2 linked regions of the Solanum lycopersicum genome follow. The protein of the gene in region 1 interacts with the protein of each later gene in a pairwise test. Links are inferred from orthologs where the notes say so. Each region holds a gene or a part of one and is shown on either strand. Other genes may lie near its edges.

Region 1 (10,195 bases):
TACAATAATAAAAGTAATAGAATAGCATTGTAGTACTCCATATGTTTTTTCAAAAAAATGATCTATTTTTTTTAACTGTTTCGAAAGGAGTGATTTTTTTTTATTTTGGTAACAATTTAATTTCAATTTGGTGTATTTGTTATAATTTCAATTTAAGATCTCAAAATTGAAAAACCTTTTTTACTTTTTTAAATTAATGTAAAATTAGCTTAGATTATTCTTTTTAAAGCGAAGGAAGTATTATTTTATTTTTTCTACTTTAGAAAAAGAACACCTTTCAATGAAAAAAAGAATTCTTGGATCTAGTGTCATGAATATAATGTTGATAATATACTATATAATACTATAGAGTATTGATGCAATCCAATCTATGTCCATTTGTTTTATCTCCTTTCCCTTTCATTCATACATAGAAGAAATATAGATTCCAATATTCACTTCCTTTTTCTTCCTTCCATGCTTGTACTCATTTCATATAATAATAATAATAATAATAATATATCCCCTTCCTTTTCCTCTTTAGAACAATTACTCTTTTTCTTCTAGGGTTTCTTTTTTTAAGTTGTCACTATTACAATTATATATATACTTCACCATGTTGACCAACAATTTTTAATCATAAATACGAAATTGATCGAATAACTTATTTGTCTTCTAACGGTATAACATATTATTCTTAATGATCGAATAACTTATTTGTCTTGCGTACTAGCCCTTGATCCATAGTGAAAGTTTCAACCTTAGGATAATTTTTAACCATACTGAAAAGTTGAAGGGTACATTTGTACCATACAAAAAAGTTGAAGGGTAAATTTGGACATAAAAAAAAACTTTTTCCATTATATTTTATTTTCTTACCTCTCTATTCGAGACAATAATTTCATTATATTATATATATATATAGTTATGTCTTCTATGTTCAATTGGGATTGGACTCTACTATATCAATCAATTTTATCAATGTTTAAAGACTAATCCTAAGCTAATTAATTAGGCTCTACACCTGCACATTCCAATTCTATAACATATTTCACGTTGGAGATTCATCAGATAAGGGAAAATACTAGATGCTTCACTAATGATGACAATGGACATGAAAGGACCAAAAGTAAATAAAGCAGTTTTAACGAGAGAGATGGTAAACACCACTCACTTTCAATAATATAAATACTGTAAGTTTGAGTAACCAAGAGAGCAAAAATGGATCGAAGCTTGTAGAGAAGGGTTAGAAAAGAACCAGGGGACAACTTAATTAATTTCGAAGAGTACATGGACAAATTTATTCGTTTTACCTTCTTTTTTTTTTACACTATTTAAAAAAGACTGTATCTTTTTCTTTTTAATTTAACAAGCAACAAACATGACATTTTTAATACTTCAAGGTGTTTCAAAAAATTTTATGCTCCGTACACAAGTAGATATTTACACGTATATAAAATTAAACAAATGAACTTATATATATCCTACCTGTCATAATATACGTAGAATGCCAATTACATGTTTAATTAGTTAAGAGAAAATTAAACTTATCTTGACAACATTAATTAAGTGGTTGATGAGCGTAGGAGGTGGACTTTAACATGCATCTATATGCATGCGGGGAAATATACCATTCCTATATATGACTATACTATTATTCTACATCTATGTCTATATCAAGCTAATTAATTATTAATTTAGATACAAAGGGTTGATTAGGTCGGCAAATAGGGTATAGTAATAATTATTATTTTTTTAATTTTTCGTTTAGTGTCTAGAATTCACATTAGAACTTCAATTAAATCTAGATCGCGCACTGCAGGGTCCATTCAAGGTAACGCTCCAAATAGTATTTTCTCCATACCAAGAGCTCGAACCCAATATCTCTGATTAAAAATAAAACACTCCCGACTAGTAATACACCACAATCCATGTTGATAATAACTAATATACTACATAGTAACAACTAACAAGGAATTACTTCTTCAATTTTGCAGGCATGCAGTTTCATAGATAGCAGATAATAAAATTCAACTCCGTTTATTAGGAACGTTGAAATATGTAATCATCTTATCTAAAAATTTAAGTTATCAGTTTCTTAGAGAAAGCATATTCAATATGTCTCGTGATTATGTGTGGGCGTGACTCTCTTTTCGTAGGCCAAACACGTGACACTGATACCATATGTAAAAGTGTGTGACCATCTCATATGATATTTAAGGCTAGGTGGATATAGTATGGAGAGGAATTGTCAACATTGTACAATAATAATATAGATTATTTTCAAGCTCCAGGAAGCAACTTTTAGATGCTTTTGGTCCCAAATATCGTTGTGGTCTCACAAACAATTAAGTCCAAGATCTGCCAATATATTCTAACTCATACAGGTTAATTACTTCCAATAAATAACAAGCAAATTAGAGTAGTGTAAAAAAAATGATTGCAATTTATAGAGAAACATCTTAGACGAGAGAAAGTTGCTCGCATGAAAAGTATCCTTCACTTTCAATTCGAAGGTTGCGAGTTTTAGTTACCAAAGAAGCAAAAAGGTGAGAACTTCCGAGGAGGGTAAAAAAAAAGAAGAAGAGTAACAACTAAATTTTGTTTATAAGAATAGCTTGCATCAAAAACAAAATAAGGAAGTATGTTAGTGATGGATCACTATATCACTACGACAAAAATAACTTTTAACAAAAATAAATATGCACATTAATATTTACCAAAAGTATTAAAAATTTTACCGATATTAGTTAAATATTATTAGATTCAATGCCGAGATAGGCTTAAGCTATTGATCATTTTTTGTGTAGTGTATGTCTCTAGTACCACCCGACTCTAATAACGTGAAAATCCGATAATGAGTGGCATTGAGACTTGAACTCGACACCTATTCATGCTTTATAACGTAAGACATGCCTCATTTGTTTGCACTTAATGAGAGTCTGAATCTTAATCATTTAGATTCAACCCATAAGTGCGTTTGATTTTAGGTTTGATTTTAATCATTAAGATTCATTCCATTAAGTCTATTTGTTTCTTTTTTTAAAAAAAATCTTATTGGGTCTTAATGAATCTGAATGAATCAGATTTATAACAGAGTCTTAATACCATCTTACTCTATTGAAATAATAGAAGTTCTTTCATAAACACATTTTCTTCTTCCTTGCTTCTCTTCAGGACAAGTTTTAAGTCTTCCTCTCATTTTCCAACCAAATATTTTTTTTTCTTTTGAATAAGTAAGTTTTCATAATCTTTTACAAGTATTTACATAATATTTTTAATGTATACAATATTCTTGGGTGAATTGATATTTATGAAAAATTCTTCATGTCACAATTCGTTTGTTGTCAAAACTTCTTTGGAAAAGTTATCTTTGTTTCATGAGAAAACAAATAAATCGTCTTTTCTAGGGATGAGTTATAATCTTATTCTTGAAACAATTTTTTAGAAGAAGTATTCTTGGTTTAGATTATAACTTTTTTTGATATAATATTTAATTCCTAATTTTTTTAAAAAATATCATGCACATTCATATATTGAAAATAAATAATCATTTAGTGTTCAAATCTAGAAACTACATTTTAATGTTCAGACAAGCATTAAGATTCTAACATCTTAATCTTAATGAAAACAAATGAGACCTAAGACTCATTCTTAAAAGAGTAAAACTTTTAAGTTTCTTCCTCTTATTTTCCAACTAATTCGTCTAAAAACCTAATTAGATATGAAAGAAACTTTTTGTTTTCTAGTTAGATTAAAACAAATTAATGGAGTAATTAATTATATTACTAGTTATTACGTCTATCATTAGTACACAGCTAAGCATGATATGTTATGTATCAATTTTACATGACAAAATTGAACTTGAATAGTTTCGTTTACCTTCTATAAAATATTTTTATTGGCTAAAATCATTCATACTTTGTGGTTAGATCCTATTATGGATTTTTCACTATATTCTTCAACATCTTTATCTCTTACTTCTCGGAGCTCTGATAATGAAATAAAGAAAAATGAGAAGAAGATACCAACAACAACTGATTGACTTGACTACGTAACTATAGTTCCAGATCTGTTGCATCATATTTGCAATTACCTTAAGGTTGTGAGAGTCGAGAATAAACCCAACCTTTGCTTCGATTAGAGTTTCTACTATCGAGATTTCGGTTAAACCATGACATATTAATGATGCAAATCCAAGAAAAACAAAATTGAAAAAATTAATGCTAAACACACTTTCAATTTGTATAAATTAAAGGTTAATCCAATACCAATAATAATGTAGATTTATACCACTTGAATCACCCAAAAAAAAAAACTACAGATTAATATTTGTATATTTCAGAATAGAGATTAAAACTTTATAAACCTATATGGTATAAGAAATAGAATGATTCACTTTAATTATTTGTTGTACCTGTGAAGAAGGAATAATGTAGCATGATTATAATCCAGGACAACAACTTTAATTCAAAATATTTGAAGTAAAGACGAAGATTCATTTCCTCCACTTGGCTTAGAATCAAATTGCGCGACCTTCATGTGGTTGATTATCATCATCATCATCGTCATCATCGTCATCTTCATCATCTCTGGAACTCATCCATCTAGGATCATTATTGAGACTAAAGGGTTTCATTTGGGAACTAATCAAATTAAGAGTTGGCATCACAAGTTGATTATTGTGTGAAGTAGTTGAGCTTAAGAAATTGAAATGGTTCATATTAGCCCTTGGATCATGACTCTCAATGGGATGATGATTTGTTATATAGTTAGGAGATGGAACTATAGGTTGAAATGTTGTTGTTATTGGATTGAAATACAATTGAGAACTCGAGGGAAAAGGCGAAGATGATGATCCCAAAGATAGAGGGAAACTAGTATTTTGATGAGATTGATCATCATCTATTTGGGATGAAAATGAATGATTATGTCCAAAATGACCTAAAGACAAATTCGAATTAGGCTGATGATCCCATTGATAGTTATAAGAATTGAAAGGCATGCCTGGTAAATTAGATGATCGTTGATTTCCTAAGGTAAACATATTATCCTCTTGATTTGATTCCTCATTTGAAGCGATTGACTTGTTCCTCCCATGTTCCAAATAAGATGTGTTCGCGTTCAACCATTGAGCACGGACATCAGAGAACTCTTCATGAGATGGTTGTTGAAACCGAGTGAAGTACTCAGGTGGTACAGGAAGTGGAGGAAGAGTATCGATATCAAGTTTAGTCGCTTCTAAGAGCCAATCTACAACTTTACTAGGTTGGCTCAGGCCAAGCCTGTCTTGTAGATCATACAATTGAATTGCAGTTGGAACTGATAGTCTAATTCTTCGATCTCTAAGCCCCCTTATGGTGCACACCTTACTATGCCTATCTTTCCCTCCAAAAGTACGCGATACGCGTACTATTCTTGGGTTTTTATTAGCTCCCCATTGCCTTGAAGTACTCGATGGTGGTGCACTAGTCGTCTTTGAGGCCAATCTACTATCATTATTTGATTCTTGTTTCGTCTCAAAATTATTTCCACTCGATGAATTCATGATATGTATATCATATATCGTTCTTCATCAGCATCGATCTAGTAAAAATCAAAGAAAAATATTAAGCATCTATTAGATCGAGATAAAATATTATCAAATTATACTATACACACAAAAAAAAAAAACTCCATCAATGGAAATTTTCTTGTGTACATAGTGCAATTTTTGGGGGAAAATTGGAGTTGTGATTAATATTAGGGTAACCTCCAAAATCATTTCACTAAACACCCAAGACTTTGTAAAAATGACTAAGATCTAAAAAAATAGATGTTTAAAATTTTGTATAAACAATTACTACTATAAGAATCATGAATTGTACTTACATAATTAGGTTTTGTAGAAGATAAACTACAACTTGTATATATATCTTTGAGTGGCTAGCAAAATCTCAACATGGAATTAACAACTCTTGATAACATTTAACTTCTTTTATAATAATTTCTCCCAAGGCTTGGGGGAAAAAATGAGTTTATGGACAAAATTTGACCAAAAGAGAAACAAGAGAGAATAAATTTACAAGGATAAGTTATGGTTTGTAGAAAAAGAAGCAATGTTAGATTCTCACTATGTTATAATATTATCTCAAAAGAGGAAAGTAGAAGGCCACGTGGCGCTTACTCGTGTGTAATTCAATTCTAGGGTTGAGAAAAATGTAAAGTTTTAAGTATTATGTATCTACTGTGTATATAAACTTTTATAGTATTTGTATATATAATCGCGATAATTCTTTGTCCATAGGCTACAAATAATAATGTAATAGAAATTTAATTTCTCGTATTTAGACTACTCCATCATGAATAGTTTTTTTTTTTTAACAGTCTATTAGTCAAGAAGCTAGTTATTGTAGTAGTTTCATATTTTAATTTTAAGTTTTGATTCTATTTAATGATGCTAAGAAAGGAAGGTACACTGTTAACCTCACAAGGACCACTCTAGGGTTAGAAGAAAAAAAAAAGAAAAGGGTTTATTGCTTTTCTGCAAACTATAGTAGTAGTACAAATTAAAATAAATGACTAATCATCCGAATTTAAAATTTTGAATATATATATATATGTTTGTTGTGAGATATTGTCGGTTACATGTAGAATAATTATATTAAATAATAATCAGTTATTAGGGAAAATGATGTGAAATACATTTGAACTTTGATTGATATTATTGTTGTAGTATCAAATTTTAGAAAAGACATTTTACCCCTACATTATTTAATAGTGTATTTTAAAGGTATATATGTATTTACGTGGACATAAAAATATTACATAATTATAAATAGTAATGTGTCTACGTGGACATAAATATACCTTTAAAATACACTATTAAATAGTTTGGAGGAGTGGGGAAGGTTAAAAGGTTCTCCATAAAGTTTCATATCGAAATAGCAATTTCGATCAAAATTGAAGTATTTTTCAGACCTTTTCCCTCGTTATTACAATTGTTGAATAGTGGATTTTTATAAAATAATTGTGTATTTAAAAATTTTAATTGTAATATTCTATTTATAAAAAAAGATATATGGAGATATGTAATTTTTTAATGTGGCGTCGTAGGATGTTATAGTTTCTTGTTTATGAATTATTTTTTACTCTTTGCTAAGATTGTATAAGAATGGGAGAAATTTCGGTGGTTTATACAATTTGTAGAATTTTTTTTTCATGTTTATAAGAAAAAACACAACCCGAGAAATATAAATTACTCATCCAAACAAAAGTTTAATCTCAAATTAATCTGATTTCAAATCATAATTTGTATCGCATGTCCAAGCGAATCCTAATTAAACTCATCTCATACTCCCTCTGTTCGTTTTTAATTGTCATGTTGTGTTTTAAAAAGTCAATTTGATTAATTTTCAAAGTTAAATTAGATTATTAGATATTCAAAAATTATACTAGAAGTACTACAAATTGCATTTTTTTGGCATATCAATAAGATAAAAAAAATCATGGTAAAATATTAATCGAAGTTCTTATCATTTCACTCTAAAAAAAATCATGACAATTAAAAGTGATCGAAGAGAATATTTAAAAGTGATCCAATTTTCTTTATCAGTATTATTATGGGTACTCTTATACTATCTTATTCTTTAATTCTACTTATTTATTATTTTCTTATTACTTCGAATATCGTTCTATTTGTTATTTATAATTTTCTTTTCTCCATTGTTTTCTACAAGGGTTCCTTCACTATATTATTCCTTTCTCAATAACTTTAATATATTTTACTTAATTCGAGGATCTATCGGAAAATATCTATTAATCTTCACTAGATAGAGAGAAACTCCATATACATATCATCCTTTCCAAAACTTTTTTATGAGATATATTACACTAAACATGTTATTGTTATTGTTGATTTCTAATCGAGTACGTCACCTAAATTGAATAGAAGAAAAGGGAGAAAAGCTTTTACTACATATGCATGCACAATTAAATTAGCAGAAAAGAAATACCAGAAATCCTTGTACATTAATATCTTTTAATTTATAAAGAAACTATATATGTACAATTTGTTAGTGCCATTTTTGAAAGATTTTAACATAATTATGATGAAGAAATTAAAGATTAGGAAACACATGAAAATAAAGAATGTTGATGAGTAATTAATTATTTAAGTTTCAAAAAGGAAACAAATTATTAGTAATTAGAATAACTAGTGGAGATGTAGTGGTATCCCCAAAGCTATATATATGCTCAATTGTAGATGAGGGACCAATAAACCAATAATAATAATATACAACCTCTTAAAAGACTTTGCACTTAGTACACATATATTATATATATATATATATAAAAATGGGCCACTTGCAGTGAGATTTTTTGCATGCAGCAGTAGCAGCAACTTGGACTTAACCCACTGATTAACTTAATGAATTTAATTTTAATAATTGAAAGTCCTGATTAAATTTGGATGCGTATTGCAAGCTCATTTAGGAGTGATATTCCTAACAAGATTTTCTTCATATTTAAGGCTCGAATGTGACACTTTTAATTAAGGATAAAGCAATCTTACCACCGTATTGTAACACTAATAAATTTAATTACTATTATCATTCAATAACAAGGGTAGAAAGAAAAGGACAAATATTAGAATGATCAAATTCCAATCTACTGTTCCATTGGCTAATTAAATCAACTGGAAAAGGGAAGGTATATTCACCAAAAATATTCAATATATATTAATATTGATATTGCGAGAAAGGTTTTGTGATTTCGAATTATATATTAATATTTTTTATAAAAAAAATGTATGTGTACGTAGAATAAAATTTGATTTTTAAATTTTGAATTTGCTTATGATGAAATGTTAATGCTGACAGAGGTAGAATTACTATTGAAGTATATGAATTTTGAATTTGTCATCAAACTTATAAGACGATAAGACTTAATTTTGATGTATAATTGATTCATAGGTTAATCTTTATTTTCTACCACCACTAAACCCTAAGGAATACAATAATGAAAATGGATATTTTGAGAGGCCACAATCTGCTCTAAGAGTAGAGTTGGCTACAATCATAACAGGCCAAAGGCTAATACTATAATTACTGAATTTTAGTTCATAAATATTGAGCAAAAAAAGCATCCAATGTTTACAACCCTAGCCACAAATTTCACAAGTTGCTAGTCAAATTTTCCACTAGTAAATCCCAACTAATTTGTTAGATAAAAACTGATTATTTACCTACTTAATCTTAATCTTTAAGTTAACCTACCAAATAACTAGGTGACATGCGAAAGCTCACAAAACAGTGATAAATCAGACAACAAAAGAAAAAAAAGGTGAGTAATCTAACACTTAGCATAAAATAGAGTTCAAAATATCGAAAAAAATAACTACACAAAATTTATTCAGAAATAGAAGGAAGGAACTTCAATTTAATTAGGTCAAAACACACATGCCCTAAGAGAATACTCATATTCATCTAATTTGTGCTTGAATTAAGTTATACCAAATATAGAACAAATTAAGCAACAACAGAAATAGAGGTTGCAATAAATCATAAATTGACATGATTAACTTATTGCCCCACTGTTAAGAAACATTACAATTACTTCCTTCGTTATAATTTATTTGTCCTATTTCTTATAATTTGTTGAAACAAGAATAATCTCTTTCTGTTTTTTATAACTCTTTAATTTCAACTTAATTCCATCGCAACATGTTTAAGATTACAAAATTAAAAAATATATTAATTATATTTTAAATATAAGACTACAAGATTTAAAAAATCTTTTTTATTTTCGTCCCATATATAATACTAGTACTGAATCTGTTATTTTTCTGGCCTGCAGACTAACAGAATGAATAATGGACTGTGCTATCAACTGCTACTAAACTTCAAGCCCAGAAGGAGTACGTGTGGGCACTGGCCAGCATCATCACCACTTATTTCCCTCAAAAAATGTAAGGATAAACTCTCACTTACCTATTCGATAGTTTTTTTTGTTTTAATTTGTTTGATCTATTTTTATAGTAATTTTTTTAAAACAGTTCTTTAATTTCAATTTTTTAAAATGATATTTAACTACAAGACTAAAAACATTTTCGACAATAACACTCAAAAAATTTCTTTAGCTTCTTAAGCATCAAACAAATTAAAACGAAAAAAGAATAATTAACTGTTGAAGTTTGCTGCAGTAACTTTTAGCAAAATAAGTTATTTAGTTTAAA
Region 2 (11,074 bases), on another chromosome or scaffold:
GTACTAGGGTAATTTAATTCATTTTTTTGCAAGTATTTTAATGCCTTTTTCATTTCCTCAGCTATTTGATTTTACATGTAAATTAAGAAGAACGAAAACATTTTTATATATATATAAGAACTTTCAAATATAAAAATGCATTGTTAACTGATTTTATCATAAAAATATTGTGGTTAACAATAACCATAAAGATGATGACTCTTACTATATAAACAGCAGAAAAACTAATTGTTCAGTAATATCAGTACGTAACTATTACGACTACTATAAACATGGAGATCAGTCGGAGTAATGTTGGTGGCGGCAGCAATGACGGCCCTCTGTTCGACAGTTTTAGGACGGAACTGCTGTCTCCGGCTGCCCAGGCGGTGGTTGATCAGATTCAGTCATCATCTTCCGCGTCATGGAGGCTTAACGTTAGTGAATTTCATCTTCCAGAGCAACGACGCTCTGATCCTCGCTGCTTCAGTGTCCGTCGTCTCCTTCCCACTCCCAGTATGTATCTGTTCCAATTTATGTAGCACAGTTCAAATTTCGAGAGTCAAATAGTTTAATTTGGGCTTGTAATCTTCAAACAATTCCAATTTATGTAGCACAGTTCAAATTTTGAGAGTCAAATAGTTTAATTTGGGGATAAATCTTCAAATGTAAAATACAGTCAATTATAAACTTGTTTGAATTTCGAAATTCAAAAAGTAAGTAGGAATTCATTTTCCAGTCGCGATTTCTGTTCTATTGCGTGATAATTTACAGGGAAACAGGGTAAAATCGCGGAATATTACAAAAGGCAGGAAAGGCTTGTAGAAGGGTTCAATGAGATGGATACCATTAATGAATCTGGTTGTTTACCTGCAAGTCTAACTGAGGTTTGTTTGTTTGTTTCTTTAAATTGCTCGAGAAGGCGTAAATTGACTCTTGCAATCATTGTGTACTTTATCAGGACGAAATGAAGCAGCTTGCTAGGAGTGAAAGGATGGCTATTCATTTATCAAACATGGCTAATGTGTTACTATTCGTAGCAAAAATATACGCATCTGTTCAGAGTAAATCATTGGCTGTTATAGCATCGACGTTGGATTCTCTGTTAGACCTTTTATCCGGGTTTATTCTGTGGTTTACTTCTAATGCCATGAGAAATCCAAATCAGTATCACTATCCTATTGGGAAAAAAAGGATGCAGCCTGTGGTGCGTGATCATACTCAGTTTAATTCATTTGTTCTATTGTTTTCTTAACTCATTCATTGCTATTTCGTTCAGGGTATTATTGTTTTTGCATCTGTAATGGCAACACTAGGATTACAAATACTGTTTGAGTCTGCAAAAGAACTTATAAATCAGGTATGTCAATTGCTGAGAATGGATTTTGCACAGCAGCTGCTACCTTATGATGATTGAGTTTTGAAAATTTGAATTCGTACTACTAGAGATCAATCGTTAGAATTTGTCCCTCGATTTTGAAATACTAGGAAACGGAAGGGCAAAACGATAGGTTTTGGTACTTCTACTGTTGAATAGATATTGCAATTTCACTAGCAACTGCATTACACTTGACTTGTTAACCTGCATTTGTTGTTTGGATGGTTCTATCTATGTGTATGAGATCAGTCTCGCCCTGAGATGGATCACGAGAAGGAAAAATGGACGATTGGGATTATGGTCTCGGTCACAATGGTCAAGTTTCTGCTTATGGTCTACTGTAGAAGGTTCAAAAATGAAATTGTAAGAGCTTATGCCCAAGACCATTTCTTTGATGTCATAACCAACTCAGTTGGATTAGTGACTGCTGTCTTAGCAGTCCGATTCTACTGGTGGATCGATCCTGCAGGAGCTATCATAGTGAGTTCACAATCACAAGTCACAACTTTCGATTAGTAGCAAGACATTGTTTCACACTGCTGATAATCTTAAAAGTCTTTATATATATATAACACATTGTACTTTCAGATAGCTCTGTACACAATTAGCACGTGGGCGAGGACAGTAGCAGAAAATGTCTGCTCACTCATAGGAAGAACAGCTCCACCAGACTTCCTTACGAAATTAACCTATCTTATATGGAATCATCATGAAGAGATCAAGCACATTGACACGGTTAGAGCATATACTTTTGGCGTAAATTACTTTGTGGAAGTTGATATAGTGTTGCCAGAGGACATGTTTCTGAATCAGGCACATAATATTGGTGAAACACTGCAAGAAAAACTGGAGCAACTCCCTGAAGTAGAGCGTGCTTTCGTCCATATTGACTTCGAGTTTACTCACAGGCCAGAACACAAAATCACAGTGTAATGACATACATACTAGTTGCATCAAGGACCTTTACTCAAAATAATATTTATGTTGAGTTGAATCCATGAATTATTCAAGATCATTGGCTTAGTCCAGATGAAAGAAAAATCTAGCGAAGTTTCTTTGTTTGATAAGGTAACAATTTTATTATTGAATTGAGCAATAAAAAGCTAGTTGAAAACAAGAAGTATATCAAAATGTAGAGAACTTATAAAAAACGGATATTCAGATACTTATTCAAATTCACACATCTTATGAGATCTTAATATGAGACCTCAATCTTATTATAAAAAAATGGATATTCAGATACTTATTCAAATTCACACATCTTAATATGACCTTAATCTTATAAACAAAAGAAATACTATGGGTGCACCAAAAGGAATCATGGACAAAAGATTTACTCTTCTTTTTTTAATCAAGATAAAGAATGTCATTGAGATAGATTGTTTTTGTTATTTTTATTGTTTGAACGCCTCTAAAGAAAAAAGGTGATATAATAGGTTAGAATTTGTTCTCTCGCTCCTTGCTGGAGGAGCGACATACCAGAAAAAAAGCCCTTTTTTCATGAGCTTAAGTATTATAATCACTAATGAGTTGTTGGCGAGAATTATACAATTTTGATATCGCTTTATCTTTAGCTTGTATAATTACAATCATAAATTAGATTTTTAAAGTTATTTAAGAGTTGCAAAATTATAGTTATTAAATAAGAGATGAGATTTAATCGTGAGCTCAAACTTTTGAAAAACGGGTCAATGAATCAGGCGAGTAAATTTTTTAAATAAATGAATTTTATTTTAATATCAATCTATCACGTTCAAATTTAGAAATATCAAGTTCTGAATATTTTATTTGATGTGAATGTCCACTATTAAATGTAGTTTCTCCATTACGATTCACTATTGTGTTCCACCTCCTCAATGATCTCTATTTCTTCTAACTTCCATGTCTCCCATATTCTCCATAATCTTTTTCTTTAGGAGTCTTTTGATAATTAGATAAGAAATGAGTTATTTATATATTAATTTTCATGTAACTTAATCAACATGTGATTGATAGAAAGAAAATAAGTTATTAATTATAGAATTCATAAAACGTTTGATTAAACATCCCATATAACTAATACCTGGTTATATGTATATGTTGCAAGAATATTTACATATTATTTTATGCAAGATGAAATGTATAATAACAATCTTATGAATAACTAATCCCTGCATGTGCATGATTAATACATTATACATAAATTCGCTCATAATAATTTCTACATCACTATTTACATAACTCTAACTAGCTATCAAATAAAGAATGTAAAAAAAAAATTAATCGAGGATATTTATGTGTCATTCTTAATACATTAGGGGTAACTTTAGCCATTTTCCATTCTTTTATGGGCCAAACAACTCAAATAAAAACTCACTCGTCCATTTATCTGTGTAAAGTATTGCGACTCGCCGGAAGCGGGAGCATCAGCCCCAAAGCCCATGAATTAAGGACAACCCAAAACTCACCGGACATCGCCGGCCTCCTCCGCCGGCTGTTTAGTTGACGGAAACTTCTGTTCTCGCATCGTCACTACTGAATTCAGTCACAACATTTCAGTACATTTTGATTTCAACGTTTGTTAATACATATAGTAATAATATGGGACAGCAATCGGTGCCGACACCTTCAGTTAATCTTCCATCTCTACCACCACCGTCGGCGAGTAGTTCAGATAGTGGAGGAGGTTGTCAAGTTCGATGTGCTGGTTGTAAGATGATTTTGACAGTCGCTCCCGGACTGACAGAGTTTATATGCCCTACTTGTCAATTGCCGCAGATGCTACCTCCGGAACTCATGCCTCAGCAGCAGCGAAGCAGTGCCCTGGCTCATGGAATTGATCCTACCAAGATCCAGTTGCCCTGCGCTCACTGCAAAGCTATACTCAATGTCCCTCACGGCCTGTCTCGCTTCTCCTGCCCTCAATGTGGGATCGACCTTGCCGTTGATGTATCTAAGATTAGGCAATTTCTTCCTCAGTCGTCATCGAATCCTGCTGCTCCCCGTCCCCCTGCGCCACCTCTGCCTGAGGAAGAAGTCAATGAGGTTTTCAGTCAAAACTAATCTTCCCAACCCCATTTTATTGTATTCTTAACAAAATAACCAAAATTTGAAGGCAATGTTTTTGAACTTCCCCACTTGTGGGATTACACTGGGATTTCTATGGGATTTCCAAAATCAGTGTTCGTTATTCCTTTTCTGCCACGATGAGATTAGTACCTATTGGATGGCTTTTATTTTATGTATTGCGCGTGGTTGCCAGTTTTACTTTAACCATACTAACTGTTTTTTTGTTGCTCTTAACCAAAATTTTCCACATAAAGCTAGCCTCGCTAAACAACCATATATTTCAATTAGTTGATTTCTAAGTAGCTTAAGGTATAAAAAATCAACTAGAAGGTTATTGACAAAGTTTGAATGCCAGACATATCTGTTGGAGCATCTTATAAGGATTATGCTGTGTAGAATCCTATCATAGAGAAGTTTGAGAAACATCTTGCATGGTGCCCAAAAAAGAAAACTTTCATAAGGAAAGTAGCTTTGAATCTTGATAGAGAGTAGGGTGGAGCTAGGAGGGTGCAAGGGATTCACCTGGATCCCTTTTCTTTTGGAAAAGTATACTACATTGTACATGCAAGTTTAAGGCTATTCTTTAATATATAGTAGATGTTGAATCCCTTTGGCTTCTTTGTTTGTTTACTTTCTTTGTTTTGAATCTCCTTATTGAAGATAGTGGCTCAACAACTTCTCTAACATACCAATCTATTATATATCGTTGATGTTCATCCATGTAAGTGTGGTGCAAAAGTTGGAAAGAATGCTGAGGAACGTCTGATGGTATGAACATAGGAGGTGAAGAAGTATCCTTGAGTTAAGTGGGGACCCTTGGCTCGAGTATAACATATCAAAATAATGAAAAAAAAGAGGGGAAATGATAGTGGAGAAACAAAACAACTAATAAGGAAACAGTAACAACCACAAAATAATGCAATAAGCTAAACACAATCAACAACAAGTAATGCTGGAATCAGAAGCCAGATTCTATTAGAAAACAGCTAAACCCCTCAAAAATCAAGACAACACTCTATACTTACTAACCTTTTATCGCATTACGCGATATATATATATATATATATATATCAATCTAAACTTCTCGCCTTGGTCATGGATGTAGTCAAGGCACCCAAGGTAAGTTGACCAAATCTGGTGTGGATCCCGTACCCACACCCCTGTTGTGTCGACATGGTGTCCTTCCTCTGGCATACAAATCCTTCCATTTTTTTTCTTCTTCCCTTTCACTATTGTGTTATCAAATGACCAGTTATCAATATTGTTCTTTGTAGGTCTAGTGATAGTTATTGTTTCCTCTAATGTAGATTCTAACAAGTAACATGTAGTTTTTTTTATGGGAATCTCTATATGTACCCTGTTATGCAAAATTCTTTGCTTTAACTACAGGTAAACAATTTCATATTATAAACCAAAAGGCCAAAAAAATCTGCTGTATACAAGAAGTATACCAAAAAGTAAAAATCTACAAAAGATATGGTTCTCTACAAAAGACGCCCAATCCTCTATAGATCCCGGTAGCCTTATGTTGATGATGCCTAGTCAGAAGCAAAAAATTAATTTCCGTATCCAACATCTATCTGGTTTATTAATGCCCAACAAATTATCTCTCGCACATTAGATCTCAACATTAGCTCATAAGAAGCAAAAACAAAAATTAGGCATTAAATCAGTTTAGCATTAACTTACAATAATTTTTTGTAGAGACACCCAAACGGAAACAAAAGAAACAATCAACCTTTTGGGAAAGAGGGTGATGCACGGAGAAACTGATAAAACTCATGGAGGGACAGAGGGTTGACAAAAATATGAAGCAAATGCTAAAAATAAATAATATTCCCTCCGTTTAAAAAAGAATGACCTAGTTTTCTTTTAGTGTGTTTAAAAAAGAATGACCCCCTTTTTTTTGTCAACACTTTAGCTTCAACTTTTGATGTGACATGTTTAAGGCCCAAGATTAAATGACATTTTGGTACATTTGACATAACTTTTATTTAGAACCACAAGATTTAGAACTCTTCTTTCTTTTCTTAAACTCCGTTCCAAATTAAACTATGCCATTCTTTTTGAAATGGAGGGAGTAATGGACAGCACTGTGTCAAAGAGGTTAACACCAAGACCAATGAAGATCAGGTGTAGCGTAAACAGTTGAGCCTCACCATAACATTATTGATATTCAGCAAAAATCGATCAATAAGCACAGACTAATTTAGGGTTAACACTGCAACAACTTCTTGTTGAGGAATTTTATATCCTCTGCTTAAGATATCAAATAGTAATAGAATTAGTAACAGCAAAATATAAAGACATAAGTGAGAGTAGAAATAGAAGAAGGAACCATAGAAATTGTACTATACAAAGAACCATCCACTAAAGAAGGAACAAAGAAGCAGAAGGAAAATGGGAAATAAAAAGGTAAACACGTGTCACGAAAAAGAGGAGAATTGAATTGAAGTGTATATAAGAGAAGAGAAAAGATATTCAGTACCAAAGACATATGTCCATGTATGATAAAAAAGAGTAAGGTTCAAGTGTATAGTTTATATTACTTTTGGTACAATTGCCCAGTGCAATGTTCGTACATCCCCTTCGTAAATATTTGTTACTTTTGGTATAACTGTGCACTTCAGTGTTCATCCCCTCCTCATTTATATATAGTAGAAAAGTACAAGTCTAAGTAGCATTTTCTGTATCACCAGAATAGTGTTCTAATGAGAAAGGTTGTGCTCAACAATTAGAACTTATGGAACAATTTTTGATGGATCAGGCTCAATAATTGCAAACTCTTCTGGTTAATTATTTCTGCCGCTCTCTTCTGACCAGATGATGTGTATACACCAATCGACCTTATTTATATCGTATAGGAAACTTTGTTCCATATTTTTTAGTTCTCAACATTGCATCGTGATGTTTCAGGTGGCCATTGAAGTAGAACGTGAAGAAGACGAGGGTGGCATGGTTGGAGAAACTTTTATGGACTACGTATGTTTTCTTTGCTATCTCAGCATTTACTCCTAGTAATGTAATAGTGGGAGAAATATGTGTTTTGCCTTCAATTATTTTTAATATGTAAAATTCTGTAATGTTGTAGAAGAGAGAATGGGAGAACACGAAAAGCCTGTGATAATGGCTGTAGAGAGTGGGATGGAGTAAAAGAGAGATGAATATGTTACTTTTGTTACAATGACTGACAACTTAGCAATGACTTTATTAACTGTTCGAATTTCTTTGCTAACCAGTTTAAAAAATAGAGAGGTTATTGTAAGCCTATCATTGGAGAAACGTGTGATACCGTTTTGTGGATGCTAACTCCAACAATCCCCTCCTCTCCCTAAATGTGGTCGCGTGATACCGTTTTGTGGATGTTAACTCCAACAATCCCCTCCTCTCCCTAAATGTGGAAGCACATAATATCATCATTGAATATAACCTTTTGAGATTTTCATGTTAGCATGTTCATGTTGATCCTCTTCATTCTTATTTTCTTGTCCTGTTTTAACACAGCGGCCTCCCAAGCTATCTATTGGACCTCCGCATCCTGATCCTATCGTGGAGACATCTTCCTTATCTGCAGTACAACCACCTGAACCCACCTATGATCTTACGATCAAAGAGGACTTGGAAAGCTCTAAAACATTGTCCTGCCTGCAAATTGAGACATTGGTTTATGCTTGTCAGGTTGCTATTCAAACTCATGTTACTCAACTCTGTTAGTAGGCTCTTAGCTTATAGTTACTGTTTTCCTGTAACAGAGACACCTTCAGTTCCTTCCAAATGGTACTAGAGCAGGATTTTTTGTCGGTGATGGTGCTGGTGTGGGGAAAGGACGAACAATTGCTGGACTAATATGGGAGAATTGGCACCATGATAGAAGGAAAGCATTGTAAGTTCTCAAGTAAAAGAAGTACATTGCTGTACTTACCACTTAAAAGATTGCATTATTGAATCTTAATCTATTCTAATATCCATTTAATGGTTGTCTCCTTGTTGCTAAAATGATGACTGTACTCCTAAAGAATCTGTTTTTCTTCGTTTATGATCAAACACATGATAGTTTCTACGATTAAATCTTATTGTTTCCTCCTAATGCTTTTCCCCAGGTGGATTTCTGTTGGTTCGGATTTGAAATTTGATGCAAGACGAGACATGGATGATGTGGGAGCTACATGTGTAGAAGGTAGTTACTGAGAATCTTCAGTATGGTCTTGGTTAAATGCTGCATACGATCTACCTATTCCTTTCTCCGTTTGTTTATGTTAGTTTGTGCTTTTGTGTTCTTTGATGCTTACCCATTCCTTAAGCTTTTGAAGTTTAAGGGATATAAACTTCGAGCACCTTTTTGCTTTCTATGTTCTTTTTTCTGGGAACTGCAGAGATCAACTGATAACTCTGGGAGCCTGGATAGACGCTGTCGCAATGGGGTCTTAACTACTCTATTAGAATCTAAGAAAGGAAATACAGATAAGATGTTGACTTTGTAGTTTGGGACAGTTATGACTATCTTTCGATATATGTACTTGGGTTATTTGTAGTAAGTGGTCAAATTTGGTTATTTTGGGTCAATTCATGATGTATATGTACCACATTCTACTGTTTTCTATGAGTTGCTTTTGTTGGTGGAATGCTACTTAAGATTTTTCTGAGTTATCAACTGAATGTATTATATTGTGAAATCGTGCATGGATTTTATGTGATTTTTTTTTTGGATAAAAGTAACATGGTTTTTTATGCAAATTTTTTCCTTTTATCATTTCCTATTCAAATGGTTAATGACTGAATCGATTTTGTAACTGGAAATCTATAAATTTCTCTTGTAGTGCATGCTTTGAACAAGCTACCTTATTCTAAGCTTGACTCAAAGTCTGTTGGCGTCAGGGAGGGAGTTGTTTTTTCAACATACAGCAGTCTGATAGCATCTTCGGAGAAAGGTCGGTCCCGTTTGCAGCAGCTTGTACAGTGGTGTGGGCCAGAATTTGATGGTCTTGTCATATTTGATGAGGTATAATTTCAAAATAAAAAAAATTCCTTTTGGACCAAGTTCAGTATAGTTTGCACAATGAATATTATGTATCATTGTAATGGATTTTATCAGTTGTGCAAATTCTTGAAAGAAAGAGACATCCAATTTGTTGCACTTAGCTATAACTTTTATTATTCATTTGTAGTGTCACAAGGCAAAAAATTTGGTCCCTGAAGCTGGGGGACAGCCAACTCGAACTGGTGAAGCTGTACTTGAAATCCAGGTTTGTTTTTCAAATTGAGTCATTGAATTTCGGTAAGATGTGGTTTCCACCCAAATTAAGTCATGAATCGCAGGTTGTCAAAAACAAATATGCATCTTATAAGTTAGTTAAATGAGAACAAGAAACGTGTTATTTATATTTGAAAAGAGCGAGTCTTATAAGTTAGGAAAGTTAATGCATATAATACAGTGGAAAGTAGTTAAGCTGGAGATTTGCACTCCCAAAAGCAAGTTTAGATCTCTTCCCTCCATTCTATATATATTCTTTTGAAGTTGTGAGCTTGGGATGTTTGCCAAATATATTTGCCAAGTAATGGTAAATTATATGGCTAAATAATAGTTCCCAAATTCTCCCCAAATATATTTGTGGCCAAACGGGTAGGTGTAGTCGTGTTCTCCTTTTTGAATTTTGAATTTATAAGTTAGTTGTACATTTTCAAAAAATTAAAGCACCTAAATCAATTTCAGAAATTAAATTATCCAAATCAATATTAATAAAAAACTAGAAAAAGAGCCACTTATATGTGAAAATAGTCACTAGAAAGATACACGGTGACCCAACCATAATCATTGGCCGGACAGGCAACATATATGGATAATAGCCCGCCGGCAGGGCTTACTCTCTGATTCTTTATCAAGATCGTAGAGGCTCTGATACCATGTGTGAAATATAGAAGAACATTATTGAATTGTTGTTTTTTCTACATTATTACATTGAGACCCTATTTACACGCTACAATACAATCCTTTACCAAGTAGGATACTATTTAGTATTCCTATTTCTATTTCTATTCCTATGATTGTATAAACCTATTTCTACTGTAATAGGATTGTATAAACCTTTTCATATTCTAACAGTTCTTGTGGGGAAAAACCATGGTGGTTGGGCATCAGAAACCTGAAGCTTCAGAGTAGGGCTCTTAGATTTCAAATGGTTGTGGAGGTAAAGCAGAAACTCTTTCAAATAGAGCCAAATAGTTCTAAGAATTCTAAGTTGATCCTCACTAGCACCACAAAGATTTTTTTTAGTTTCAAAAAACATATTCTGTGTGGTGCTGATGACGATTAACTTAGAATTCTTGGAGCATTTTGCTCTACTTGAAGGAGTTTTTGGTTTACACAAACTAGAAAAAGAGCTACTTATACCTAGTTAATGCAGTACCTAATATGGAGGGTTTGAGATGATTCTGGGTGGAGAAGTGGGCACACTGCCTACCACTAATTTGGGGATGTCTTTTGGTGCCATAGCAAAGTCCAAGAATATCTTGAACACAGTAGAAGTTAACTAAGTGGAAATCACAGTAGTTGTCAATAGGAGGTAGAGTCACTTTCATAAACTCAGTTCTGAATGCACTCCCAGCATATATGATGTCCATTGTAGACAAGCTTAGAAGGGATTTCCTTTGGCAAGGAAATGAGGACAAGAA

Evidence for each region.
Region 2: the proteins of TCP4 (region 1) and protein FORGETTER 1 interact in binary tests that used the Arabidopsis thaliana proteins (3 or more experiments, as listed by UniProt). The link is inferred for Solanum lycopersicum from reciprocal best matches to the Arabidopsis thaliana genes TCP5 and EMB1135.

Annotation. Positions count from the first base shown.
Region 1 is NC_090802.1:61,723,193-61,733,387, forward strand, and holds TCP4 (TCP transcription factor 4), read right to left. Parts: upstream 6,027-10,195; 5' UTR 5,851-6,026; intron 5,566-5,850; 5' UTR 5,528-5,565; coding exon 4,502-5,527; 3' UTR 4,319-4,501; downstream 1-4,318.
Region 2 is NC_090809.1:680,580-691,653, reverse strand, and holds the start of protein FORGETTER 1, read left to right. Parts: upstream 1-3,690; 5' UTR 3,691-3,937; coding exon 3,938-4,381; intron 4,382-7,321; coding exon 7,322-7,387; intron 7,388-7,909; coding exon 7,910-8,083; intron 8,084-8,157; coding exon 8,158-8,288; intron 8,289-8,505; coding exon 8,506-8,582; intron 8,583-9,222; coding exon 9,223-9,404; intron 9,405-9,570; coding exon 9,571-9,648; intron 9,649-11,074. Other genes in the region: metal tolerance protein 9, read left to right, coding at 273-495, 754-866, 941-1,186, 1,259-1,339, 1,607-1,837, 1,946-2,290. UniProt on the Arabidopsis thaliana protein: Required for normal embryo development. Necessary to acquire heat stress (HS) memory, by modulating nucleosome occupancy and regulating heat-induced gene expression.